Schizosaccharomyces pombe: one gene and its partners. Each later gene encodes a partner of the first gene's protein in a complex. Each region holds a gene or a part of one and is shown in the gene's direction. Other genes may lie near its edges. The genes, in order: mrp2, mrps18, rsm19 and mrps17.

Evidence for each region.
Region 2: mrp2 (region 1) and mrps18 share a complex: the UniProt entries of both Schizosaccharomyces pombe proteins name them as parts of the mitochondrial small ribosomal subunit.
Region 3: mrp2 (region 1) and rsm19 share a complex: the UniProt entries of both Schizosaccharomyces pombe proteins name them as parts of the mitochondrial small ribosomal subunit.
Region 4: mrp2 (region 1) and mrps17 share a complex: the UniProt entries of both Schizosaccharomyces pombe proteins name them as parts of the mitochondrial small ribosomal subunit.

The regions. Positions count from the first base shown.
Region 1 is NC_003424.3:2,504,196-2,507,464, reverse strand, and holds mrp2 (mitochondrial 37S ribosomal protein uS14m), read left to right. Parts: upstream 1-1,580; 5' UTR 1,581-1,620; coding exon 1,621-1,875; exon of another isoform or gene 1,876-1,924; coding exon 1,925-1,971; exon of another isoform or gene 1,972-2,012; coding exon 2,013-2,028; 3' UTR 2,029-2,200; downstream 2,201-3,269. Other genes in the region: mitotic spindle checkpoint WD repeat protein Bub3, read left to right, coding at 159-480, 526-1,166; AP-3 adaptor complex subunit Apl6, read right to left, coding at 2,201-3,269. UniProt on the Schizosaccharomyces pombe protein: Component of the mitochondrial ribosome (mitoribosome), a dedicated translation machinery responsible for the synthesis of mitochondrial genome-encoded proteins, including at least some of the essential transmembrane subunits of the mitochondrial respiratory chain.
Region 2 is NC_003424.3:4,966,415-4,969,404, reverse strand, and holds mrps18 (putative mitochondrial ribosomal protein subunit S18), read left to right. Parts: upstream 1-1,542; 5' UTR 1,543-1,648; coding exon 1,649-2,182; 3' UTR 2,183-2,415; downstream 2,416-2,990. Other genes in the region: gab1 (Pig-U family GPI transamidase subunit), read right to left, coding at 1-640, 868-1,259; SHREC complex subunit Clr2, read right to left, coding at 2,516-2,990. UniProt on the Schizosaccharomyces pombe protein: Component of the mitochondrial ribosome (mitoribosome), a dedicated translation machinery responsible for the synthesis of mitochondrial genome-encoded proteins, including at least some of the essential transmembrane subunits of the mitochondrial respiratory chain.
Region 3 is NC_003424.3:384,350-387,809, reverse strand, and holds rsm19 (mitochondrial 37S ribosomal protein uS19m), read left to right. Parts: upstream 1-1,639; 5' UTR 1,640-1,660; coding exon 1,661-1,703; exon of another isoform or gene 1,704-1,766; coding exon 1,767-1,872; exon of another isoform or gene 1,873-1,922; coding exon 1,923-2,055; 3' UTR 2,056-2,589; coding exon of another isoform or gene 2,590-2,685; 3' UTR 2,686-2,749; coding exon of another isoform or gene 2,750-2,824; 3' UTR 2,825-2,924; downstream 2,925-3,460. Other genes in the region: tif313 (translation initiation factor eIF3m), read right to left, coding at 24-1,024, 1,196-1,352, 1,416-1,466; pre-ribosomal protein Loc1, read right to left, coding at 2,590-2,685, 2,750-2,824, 3,220-3,330. UniProt on the Schizosaccharomyces pombe protein: Component of the mitochondrial ribosome (mitoribosome), a dedicated translation machinery responsible for the synthesis of mitochondrial genome-encoded proteins, including at least some of the essential transmembrane subunits of the mitochondrial respiratory chain.
Region 4 is NC_003423.3:1,166,017-1,169,072, reverse strand, and holds mrps17 (mitochondrial 37S ribosomal protein uS17m), read left to right. Parts: upstream 1-1,775; 5' UTR 1,776-1,868; coding exon 1,869-2,141; 3' UTR 2,142-2,553; downstream 2,554-3,056. Other genes in the region: DNA recombination protein Saw1, read left to right, coding at 24-386; rRNA processing protein Tsr2, read right to left, coding at 739-1,011, 1,273-1,539; rib4 (6,7-dimethyl-8-ribityllumazine synthase), read right to left, coding at 2,826-3,056. UniProt on the Schizosaccharomyces pombe protein: Component of the mitochondrial ribosome (mitoribosome), a dedicated translation machinery responsible for the synthesis of mitochondrial genome-encoded proteins, including at least some of the essential transmembrane subunits of the mitochondrial respiratory chain.

The DNA.
Region 1 (3,269 bases):
GTATTTATGTTTAACACCTAATATAATCGGCATCGTTGGAAATTCATCTTCGTAAAATTCGGTCAATTACCATCGAACTTCGACGTTGTCCTTTTGAAGCAACATTTAAAGGCCTATACCTCGCCAAACTCCTTTTTCATGTCATCTGTCAGTCTGCCATGAATTTCTCAAAAACATTACTAAAAAATTCAAAAGACGGGATTTCAAGTGTAATATTTTCACCCTCTGTCAAAAACGAACTAATTGCAGGGTGCTGGGATGGTAGCTTACTGCATTATCAAATCTCGGAAAATCCCGAACTTTTAGGGAAATACGATTTATCAAGTCCTATTCTTTCTTTAGAATATACAGATGAAAAAACTGCTTTAGTAGGAAATTTAGATGGGACAGTTACTACCCTCGATCTTAATACGCGAAACCATGAGTTTTTAGGAAACCACGGTAAGGGGGTATCGTGCATTTCTAAGTTGCGTTTGGAAAGTAAGATATATATTTTATTAGCCAGCTATTCTATTAACATTTTAGACTGTTTCATTAGTGGGTCTTGGGACAAATCATTTCGTGTTTGGGATGTTCGCGTAAAGCAACCTGTCGAGGGACAGGATATAGGAAAAAAAATTTTTGCAAGTAGCTCGAGAGATAATATATTGGTTCTAGGCTGTTCAGAAAGAGAAAATTTGGTGTACGATATTCGAAATTTAAAACTTCCATTTCAGCGACGTCCTTCTAGTTTTAAGTATATGACTCGAAGTGTTTGCTGTAACCAAAATTTTGAGGGATTCGTTTCTTCCAGCATTGAGGGAAGGACATCTGTTGAATATATTAACCCGTCTCAGGAAGCGCAAAGCAAAAATTTTACCTTTAAATGCCATCGGCAGATACAAAAGGACTACGATATTGTTTATCCAGTTAACGACCTAAAATTTCATCCGATTCATCAAACATTGGCAACTGCTGGGGGAGATGGCGTTGTTGCGTTTTGGGATATACAAGTCCGAAAACGATTAAGAGTGTTAAATCCTTCAAAGATCAATATATCATCTATTTCTTTTAATGTTGACGGAAGCATGCTTGCAATTGCCACTTGTGCTCAAGAAGAAGCCGCTGGTAATATCTATGTTCATGCTTTGGAATCCAACTTTGCAGCTCCAAAGTTAAAGTCATGAAATCGCTCATCAAAAAGCTTCATCCATGTAAAATCTTATGCAGATTCTTTTACTGCATACATATGAAATTTATATTATTTGAAGCACTCCTATTTAATGTTGTAAATGTTCAATATTTCCTCAGTGCTTCAAAGTGATAATTACGGTATTTATTATTTTTTATTCCACTATATATATTAAGTTAATAAGCAATTAATATAAACGCAAGACCATATTTATATAAAGAACGGGTTACGATTAAAAATACTTAATATAAAAACAATGTGACACTATTTGGTAGAAATTATCTAATTTACTTTGTTTCTCTTATTCACATTGTTTATAGTTATTAAAATAACTATAATTATACAGATCGCTAGCGCAGTTCGTAATTTATTTTGACTATTTCATCTACTGAGAATACACTCACAATTTGAACACAACAGAGAAGCCTTCTAAACCAGAAATAAAAAATATGAGGGCTTTGGGCCACCTGAAGCATAAAGCATTTCGTGATTTATTATGTAGGAGACTTTTTGCTGAACACGAAGTTGAACGTCAAAGCAATCTCTATATATATAGAAATCCTGAGCTACCTCTTCGGGTGCGTTTAGAAGCCAAAAAGCGGATTGAGGCTTTACCGACTAATGCACATCCTACAAAAATAAAAAATCGCTGTATTGAGACAGGTAGAGGCCGAGGTGTATTTCGTGCGTTTGGACTTGCAAGGGTACGATTATAATGTCATATAAATGCATTTTTGATGCTGACTATTTCAGTTTCCTTTTCGACTTAAAGCACTAGCTAATAAATTACCCGGAGTTCGGTAAGAATAAGCATTTTTACTTTTGTCACTAATCCATTCAGCAAGGCATCATGGTAATAATCGTTGTTTGTATTTCAATCCATGATAAGCGTTATTGAAATAAAAAGCTTTAATTATCTTCCGTGAATCCATCATGTTTATTATTAGCTAATATTTATTCGCCGTTTAAATGAAGTACAATTATTTGCATGATTACATTCCAAAACTGAATATTTACATTATCAATTGTTTATGATTGCCAATAGTTAGGTTCAGGTTCTGTGAGCGGCCTATCCATTATACTTTTAGTAGATATAGAACTGGTATTGTTGTTCTCTGTATCTTCATCAGGTGTACTATTTTTTTCGTTGTCTTCCTCTTGAGAAGTATCATCCGTTTCTTCATCTTCACTTTCACTGGTTGATGTTTCATATTCTCCTTCAGAACTTTCAGAAGTTTCACTAGCATAAAATTCTTCAAGCGTTTGCTGGCCAACAAATTTTGGACGGTTAATTGCGTTAGTATCTCCAAAATCACGTTTAAAGTTATCAGAAGATAATGCTTTCACACCCGGTGAATTGTTTGAATAAATATTTCCCGTATGAGGGTTTATTGGCAAAACATCCTTGATACCTTCTCGGACAGAATCAGGCGGTAAATCAGAGACATCAGCCCAGTTAGGGATTGGCTCATATCCCATCACGTCTTCATTCAAACATAAACTAGCGGTACCAATGCAGTAGTCCCGAGAAGCAATAATTTCTTTTTGACTATTCCCCTTGCTTTCCAATACGATGCGCCTAGTAAATTCAGAACTCGGTGTACTAGCTAGTTCTTTGTAAAACCTAGCTCTATCTCGTAAATCGTAACTCATGTCAAAGTGTATCAAAGATAAAACATAATTAAAAAGTAGTGACACGACATCATCTCTTGACTCTAAATCGTTTTGCTTCTCTTCAGAATGAGACAAAACATATAGTCTTACCGATAATTCGAGAATTTGATACTTCACTTCTAATGTCTCATCAGCAAAAGTTTTAACAGCAATGCGTAGCACATCAGGGACTAGTCGCGGTATGATTAGTATATGCTCCGAAATAAGCCATAGTGTAACGGATTTGGCCCGCGGTACTTCCAAAGTTTCATACGTTGCAGCTAAATACTGCAGATATATTTCTTTAGGATCATTATGAATGAGAAGCCGAAGTGAAGAGGCAGCTTCTGTCACGATAAGGCTATTATGTGATTTAAGTAACAGCAATAAAGTGTTAAGACAAGAGGGGGCCATAGAAATGTTAGCACTAGCAAAATCACCCAAT
Region 2 (2,990 bases), 2.5 Mb from region 1:
AAGCGCAAACACAATAGCATTATTTGTAAGCAAGCTATATCGCATTCGGTCTTGGACTTTATTAAAAATTGGGAGGAGAGATAAAAATATTGAAAGATCACAAATACTTGGGTAAGCTTTGAATAAAGAATGCAGGCCAATAAGAGCAATAGTAATAGGCAAGGGCAGATAATAAAGACGGATCGAAACAGGGAGAACAAACATCAATGGTAAAATGGCAAATACAAAAAGGAAGAATGTGCGAAATTCATTGAACATTTCTGTAAAAAAATACCACCAGAGACCCAAATTCGGAGTTAGATCATGAGAGTCCAAGTATACCCTAAATGGAATTTTCAAAAAAGATAACGAGTTCAGAAAGAAGCCTGAAGTTATTATCAGACCTGCAAGATAAAAAAGAAAAACAACGAATATCTGACGAAATTTAATGGATGAATTGCATTTTCTTAAAATAAGATAGGAGGGGAAAAATAACAGTAAAGCGTTAGGATTAATGAATACAGTCAATGCCATACAGCATGCATAAATTGCATAGGATCCGCAAGAGGCGAAATAAATGGTCATTAGAGTGGTGAAATTAAGTATCATGTCTGCGGAGCAAGCAATTCCTGGAAGAAATGTTAATGGGTTAAGCAGATAACTAAAGTAATATTTTGTTAGTAAATTTTGAGTTAAGGATACTTGTTTGCGACACAAATATATCACAGAAGTACACATTTTCAATATCGACTACGAAATCTGTGTAATCAACGCAGTTCAATCTTTGAACAGTCATCGTTAACAATTTTGTAAACCAACGATACAATGCTTTTCATTTTTTTGAAGAATGTCTCACTTTTTTTGTCGCAAGCCATATGCGTAACTTACATGACGGAAATCCATAATGGTGAACAAGTAGATAGTACTTGATTTGGGTCTAAAACACGAGCTTGTTTTGCAATTAAATACACAAAGAGACCTCCCATAGTAGAAATGCTAGTATAAACAAATCTGGTGACAGATATTCCTCCAAGCAACTCACAACAATAATTTAAGATCAGTAGAAGTGGAGACTGATAGAAAACACCACCAGAATAGGGGTCTAGTCCGTTTTCATACAAGTAAAGTCCTTCACGAACACGTAAAAATCCGGATACAGGCGTCGATACTTCGATTCGCCTGTAAAGGAATTCAGCAATCCAAGTGTTTGCTAAATACCATTGAAGAAAAAAAGAAATTGATAATAAACCTAATAGTTTTAGCTTCTCATTTGGTATCATTGCAAAATCTTCACTGTTCAAAAGATGGGTTATATTTGTGTTTTCAATTCACCAATCTTCGTTTAAATTACAGTCGTTGGGTATCCCAAATGATCCGTTTGAAAAACTTTTAAGGCAGCCACCAAAGTAAGATTTTTAATTTTTTATTTCTTTATTTTTTCTTTAAAACGAGAAGAGTGTTTTAGGTTAATATTTACACGTTCATACCACTACCACAGGTTGAGTAACATAAGTTACCTGGTATAGAAATTATGGTATTGAAGCACTCGGTTACTTACAATTTGTCATTTTTCATTTCCTTTACATTTTCATCCATATTTTTTAGTTCTTTGATTTTATTTTTGGTTTACAAATCGGTTCTTAGCAAGCTATTTTTCATCAAATATCTAATGCTTAATTTAACAAAAGTTGGACTACGAAGATTTTGGAGCCAGAGTCCTAGGCGGAATGCGCCCAAAAAGGAACTCTCTTCTCTTTTAGAATCCACAATCACTCCAAAAGCTTTTTCAAAAAGGACGGAGGAGCCAAATCCGATTATGCAAGGTACGGATACCATTCCAATGCCATTTTACCTTCATGCCAAATGTTTGAAGAACAACACTCACATTACACTTTGTTCTCCTGAAAGAAAAATTATTTTTAGGGCCTCTGGAGGAACCTGTGGTTTTCGTAAAGGAAAGCGCCGTGGCTACGATGCTGCTTATACCATTTGCTCCAAGGTGCTGGAACAAATCCAAGTAAAGCGCCTTGGTATTGAAAATTTGCATGTTATATTTCATGGTTTTAGTCAGGCCAGGGAAGCAGTACAAAATTGTTTATTAGGGCAAGAAGGTGCCGTAATTCGAGACAAAATTGTAAAGGTTATGGATCGAACACCTATTAAATTTGGAGGACCGAGAGGTAGAAGGGAGCGACGCATATGAAGTATGTTTATATTACTTTTCTGTTTTCTTCGTTTACGTAATCTTCCTGTGCAGTTAATCTGCTGCCCAACATTGTTGGTGCTTTTCCACCGTTGTATTTGACCTTCTGAACTTAGAAATGATTTATTAATACCGGTGTGATAGTGCAACATGATTTCTTAAAAAAAACTATATCCCATCTCTAATTCAACACAAATAGTTTTTACCTATCTTTCTCTGTAATTTATGAAATGCAAAAGACATTATTATTCCCATATTATTTACATTATAAATAATGACCGTCACTGATCAATAAGTAGACACTTCTATATCTAATTTTATCTGCCATACTTATTACATTACAACTGCTGACACCATATCAATTTCAGACAGTAAATATTCATAAAAATCGTCATCGACCCAATTTTCAGAGCCTACTGCTGATAATCGACTGGATGTGCGTTCTTTCACTTCTGAAGTGTAATTTAAATCTCCTTTTACGAACCAAGGCTCATACCATCTTCCCAAAACATCTGCGAATGGGCAGACGTACTCGACAGATTTATCATGCAGGCAACGAAAATATGTGTTTGATAGTTTTGATACCATTTGTAATCTTCTTGGTAATTCTTTTAAGTCATCCTTATGTTCATCAATATTGTCAGCGCTGTCATTATAATCGAGTGCATTTTTGTCAATTTGTGTCCATAGTGAGCCTTGGAAACAGACAATGTCATCTTCGTTTACATAAATATCAGATATGTACATAAAACTTGTTTTTTGAAGTACAGATGGCAGTGAAGATGTGGATATAACACATAAATCATTA
Region 3 (3,460 bases), 2.1 Mb from region 1:
TCCTATTTTATTTTTCTAATGAACTATTCAGAGGCTGTGACCGCGGATCCGTCTCTATTTCCCTTTTTGCTAGAGGCTATAGTAAAGCTAGATAAAGGTTGCTCCATTACTTGTAGCATGTAACGTAAACTTGAACCCCATTTAGCTAATTTTTCGTGTAAAGCAACCCATTCGTGCTTACCAAAGACACGATAGCTGCTACGGTGAATGGATAACGTTTTAGTCAACTGAGACATGCGGCCTTCAACAAGTCCAGCACGAATAACATCAATGATCCATAATTCTACTTCATTTTCATCAATCTTCAAACTCTTGGCTACATCACCATAGGATAATGTATTATTGGGAGCCTGGGTAGCTAATGAAGCAATAGTTAAAAGTTTCATCTTACGTGCAATTGCATCTTCATCAAATTTTTGGTGTTGGCAATGAGCATGGTTTTCGGCAACCCAACTTACATAATCGTCGGTCATCCCGCCGGACAAAATACCAAGTAACTGTAAAGTACTTTGTTCAAGCTGCTGAACGGGTGGAAGGGTGACAATATCATCAAAGAAAAAGTACTTAGGGCTGTTAACAGCGCGTTGAACTAATTCGCGAACCGCCTCGTCAGCAGTTGAGTTGTCCATTTTTACGGCTTCCAAAAGGAAAGCAAATGATTGCTCATCATCGTATGATTGAATAGCTTTAGAAACAAAAATATTAAATGCCCGATGGTCCGATACACTGACACCAGCTTCTTTAAGCCAGTCAGGGAAGTATTTCAAATTAGGTGCAAGAGTGCTAAACAAGGAATAACGGGTAGTGAGAGTAACAACACTAGTAAGAATGCTTAAACGTGCGTGTTGACGTTCTTTGACGGCCGTATTAAATAAAATGCTTAAGACACTGAGTATGGCAGGAGTGAGATTGTTGTTTTGATCGGCAATCTGCTCTAAGGCTTGGCAAAATTTAGAAACATGATCTTCGAAAGCAGCAGATTCTTGGATAAGATTAATAAAGACGGCTAAAATAGGCTCGAGTTCTGTTTCGTGTTAGTAATAGCATGGAAGAGAAAATAAGCGAAAACTTGGAAAGCTGCAAACCAAACACATCAGCTCATAGTATACTTTCAGAACTAACAATATAACAAATGCCCTTTAGCACTTATTAAAATAATTCTTTAATTTCCTAGCCTAAAACTATTTTGCATTACCTTTCTCAGGTGCTTGTGCCAACAATGGCAAGCGAGTCAGAAACAGATTAAGAACTTCTTTAACATTTTCAGAAGCCAAATATTCTCGGCAAAGAGCAAGTACATTTTTATCGGTATTAGCCTCAAGATTATCCAAATACATAGCCAATTCTTCCACCTTTTGAAATTTCGTTAGTTGAAAAAAGTTTTACCAAAAATCGCCGAGTCATTAGCGACATACCTGTTCCTCTACGGAAGAGTCAACTACCAAAATAAAATCAGAGCCTTCCATCTCTGTTATTAATACGAATCTAGCAGACGAGAAATGCAAATATTCGCTGTTAGTGGTAGTTGGAGAGTAGGACTTGGCACCTCCACCTCGTTCAATGGTTAAAACGAAGTGGAAGTAACAACACCAGGTTGCTACCTCACATTTATTAACGATTGCTGCATTAGCAATTAACTAGCTTTCTAACATTTCACCTCATGTTTTGGACTAGTGTAGCCAGAGCTCGGTCAGTCTGGAAAGGTAAATGAATATAAATATACTTGTTTTGAAAATAATTTAGAACCTGTTATTCTGACATTATAGGACCCAACGTGGTCGATTTCGGTGTCAACGTTCAGCAATGTATTAAAGGAAACGTTCCTATAAAAACAGCTGTGCGATCTGCAACTATTTTACCTAGAATGGTTGGGTATGATACTCGTATTTAGCAAGTGTGGACGTTAACTAACTAAATTCTAGTGCTCAATTTATGGTTCATAATGGTAAATCATATGCCAATGTAAAAATTACAGAAGATATGATCGGGCATAAATTAGGTGAATTTGCACCTACCAGAAAAGCATTTCATTACAGACAAACTAAAAATCGGTAATTATTTTGGATTCTTGGCGAAAACTGGGCTATATGGCCTATTCAAAACACTTTTCACATGGATTCATAACTACCAAGAATTTCAAGTCTGCCTCAAAATTTCAATTCGTGACTTTAAATGGAGCTACCATATTAGTATTTTGTAGGACATTTCCTGTAAGAAAGCGAATATATAATTCGCCGAATCTTTTCATTACTTTCAGGCTTTTAATGACAGCACTTCTTCCAATGGATGTACTTGCACGTATAAATGTATGTATGAAAAAGTGATATGATGTTGCATAATTTTCTGTCAATGTTTTACAAAAGAATTTTGCATTCCCCTACTTGGATTTTTTATTTTTAAATTTGAAACGCAATGGCTTATGTGTTTAATGTTATTGGTTGTACTTATTTAGTAGTCTGTATAATGAATAATTAACAGCATCGAAAAACCGAATGAACCCGATATCCCAAAAGAAAATGAAAAATTAATAATTGAAAGGCAATACGAAAAAAAGGATCTTTGGAAGTGTCGTTATAACAATTGAATAACTCATTTCTTTTCGTTTTTCCGACCCGTCTTTTTATCAGCTTTGTTATTGCTGATTTTTCTGTCAGATTGTTTAGAAAAGACGGCTTCGCGCTCGTGCTAACGTAAATAGTTAGTAAATTGACTGAAACTTGAAATCAAAATAATTCATGGAAATACTTACAGCCACTTGAAGTTTAGATTTTATTTTATCGTCAAGCTCATAAGTAACTTGATTGAGAATATTTTGAAGGTCATCCTGTAACAGCAATTAGTTAATGAACAATGAATGTGGAAAATGAATAAATAGATGAAGGAATGCCCATCAATTAAAATCAAAAAGTAAAAAAACAAACAAACCAAATCAGATCAAAAATTAGATTACATGACTCAAAAAGCGCAGCAAGTTCACTTAAAACCTTATTTGTCGGATCTGGTGGTAAAGAGGAACGAATGCGGAAGAATAGGGTTCAGGGCCTTGAAAGTTTATAAACAAGATTTGTAGGATTTATATAGAGAGATATTTATCATCGTAACATCTACCACACTGACTTGAGATTTTTGTTGTTTAATGTTTTTGAATATTACTTGTTGAGTAAATGGAAGCATTTTCAACATCTATAATGAAAGAACATGGATGTGAGAATGAATTACCTTAGTTTCAGCAAATATTTTCCCCTTCTTCTTCCCCTTTTTCTGAATCTTAGTTTGGGGATTTTTAGAAGTGTTTAGCTTGGGAAGGTCCAAATCCTCCACGCGAATTTGCTACAAAAAGAAAAAGTTAGAAAAAAGGGTTCGATTTTACCAGTAAAAGTAAACAAAGAAACATTTAAAGAAGAGAAAAGAAACTCCCCTTTTACATGGTTCGTAAATTGTGAAGGAAGAAGGAGCATAC
Region 4 (3,056 bases), on another chromosome or scaffold:
TCTAACCAGACACCAAGGTGCAAATGTGTTCTGTTGAGAAAATTGTGAGGTTGAGGCATAACTTGTTGTGTCACGTTCGAATTCATTTTAAAACAAAAGAAGACCTTGATATTCGGGCTTTCCTTTTTTCCCTACAGCGTGAATTGCATGCAGTTGCATTTCTCAACCAAGGATCCATCCGCACGCTCTACGAGAAAAGAGTAGTGGATATTACGAGTGAATCGGTCCAAAGCCATGCAATCATCGAAACTGCTAGAAATTTTGCACTACCAAATACTGCTGAAGAGGAGGAAAACATGGATCGAAAGCCAGAATTGCAGTTGAGTTTTAAAGGATCAATGACTAGTAAAATAATACATATTTATGTACAACCATTCGATTCATGAAAGAATGTATTTTGCGCCTTTTTACGTCTGCATGACTAAAATACACTCTATTTACAGCCTAATCTCATAAAAAACAAGTATTAAAAATTTGAGAAGTGAAAAAGCTGCTCAATTTAACTCGTATTCGTATTTTGGCGGATCACGTTCTTCTATACTTTTAACTACATCTTCTTATGACACGGATTACAAAGGCTTAAAAAATATAAGAGTTATTTCGATCCCAATTTTCAATTTTCAAACCAAAAACTTGAATTTTTATTATCCCCCAAAATACAAAAAAGATAAAACCAATTGCTCCCAGCAATAATGCTCATTTAATGATACCAAAAGATATAAGAATAGTACATCCTCTTTAACGACGTCTTTTCTGGACAACGGTGAATCCATCATCATCAACAATGGGTCCCTGCTGCTTTTCCTGCTGATTTTGAGCAGCTCCTCCATCCTCAGCATCAACAATCGTTTCGTCTTCTACCAATACCGGAGGATTTGACTCTTCTCTAGTTTTTTCCTTTCCTTCCTCCTTTTCAAGCAATTGTTTTCCGAGACGCTCATGGATTTCACGAATAGGTTCATAATTATCTTCGCAAGCAGCTTTCCACACATTAACCAAATCTTGAGCCAACTAAATAGACTGTTAATAGACGTATCACTTGATAATTATTTTAAATGCTAATAGAAGTAAAAAATTTTTAATATAGACAACAGAACGCAATATGTGTATAAACTCGAGCTTTTGACTAATATTCCAATATTTCGTCCTCAAACTTAAATCATTTTTTCGGTGCCAATATATATATACGAATCTTCAGTCTCAAGCAAGCTTGTTACGTTCTTTCTTGTTTGAAAAAAATCTTTACCTAATTTAGTATTGGTGAATACTTACGATATAGGGTGAGTCGTCTTCTATTGAACCAACATTGAATTCATCCTGCAGGACTTGAAGAATCAATTCTTCAACGTCCCATGCTTCCACATCGCTCGTAACTGTAATATAATCAACTAAAACTCCTGCCATCCAGTCTCGTTTATCGGCGGTATCGACATCGGCCCATTCTTCTTCAACAGCCTGTTTCATAACAGGCCATGAACATAAAAGAACACCGACAGCATATTCAAAATATGTCAGTCTCTTAGATGGGTCGTCAAACATGGCGAAAACACAGTGTCAATAACCCTCGTTCTTCTTCTCTACAAAGTCACCCTACCATAAAGTACTTTAAAATAAAATACACATACTTTTCCGATCCTCGTTATGTTGTTTATCACATTTATATATTATCATTAATTGACTTAAGGAAAGCTTATTTATGTTAAATAATTATAAGGGAAAAGACGCCGCTTCATTGCACATTTGTAAATAGGGCAATGTCAAAACTCTCTACTGCTAAAACGGTGCGCATTGATAACTTAGTTATTGTGGGTATTTAAAGGATTAGACTTACTTACTTTTCTTGTTTAATCCTAAAATTACTCTGAAGAATGAAGCTAAATTATGTGGGAATCGTGATTTCTCGTGCAATGCCAAAAACAGCGAAAGTGCGGGTTGCAAAAGAAAAGTTCCATCCAGTGGTGAAAAAGTATGTCACCCAATATCAAAACTATATGGTTCAAGATGATTTAAATTGTAATGTTGGAGATGCAGTTACAATACAGCCATGTAGGCCTCGGTCAGCGACTAAACGCTTTGAAATCATAAAAATCTTAAGCACAGCCAACCGTATGAGCCCAGCATCGGAGATTTCGAAAGAGTAAATAAAAAATCCCCATTAATTTTTGATGATTCCTAATGATTTCGATTGATCCATTGTGATAAGTCTTTCGCGGTGGTCATGAATATTGTAAATCGGTGATTGACCGCTCTTTCTTAACTTGCCAATTACCTGTATACACCGATATCGATTTTAACTGGAAATTTTTACATTCACAATGGCTACGTAATGTTGCAAATTGTAGATTGTGCATCAGAAGAGTCTCAAATCACATTCATTTCTAAAAGAAAACTACTCTTGTAGTACCATGTTTCCTGCTCCCAGCATTCAATGCCTTTAAATTTGTTTACAACTATGTCAATAATACTTCTGTAACATCTTTTTTTGTAAAAAGGGCAAGTGATTGAACAAGATGCATATAGACAGTAATATATTCAAAATAAAGCTTACAAAACATAATAAGTTGGGATTAAGTCTTAAGCAAATTTAAAACATCGTATACATTAACCCATAGCTGTATATCTTAACAAACTGGGGAATCATGAAAATACGTTGCAAACGATTGAATGAAAAACATACTTGTTCAACTAAGACGGTGCTCATAAGAAAGCGACAATGTATAAAGGATCATGACTAAAGCTTTAGCATGTCAGTAGGTCCTTTCGAAGAGCAAAACAGTCAGTAGCATATTTTATTAACAAAAAAATGAGCAAAGGATTCAACTTAATTAATACAAAGCTTTCAATCCCATCTCTACAGCAGCTGATCCCCAATCATTTCCATGGTTATGGCCACCATTCAAACCTGCACGATAAAGAGCTTGCTCTTCATTTAAAACTGTTAATAGACCTAGAATGACGGGAACACCTGAATCAAGGCCAACGCGCATAAGACCATGAACAACAGCTTCTGAAATATATTCAAAATGCATGGTGGAACCTTTGATTAAAACGCCAAT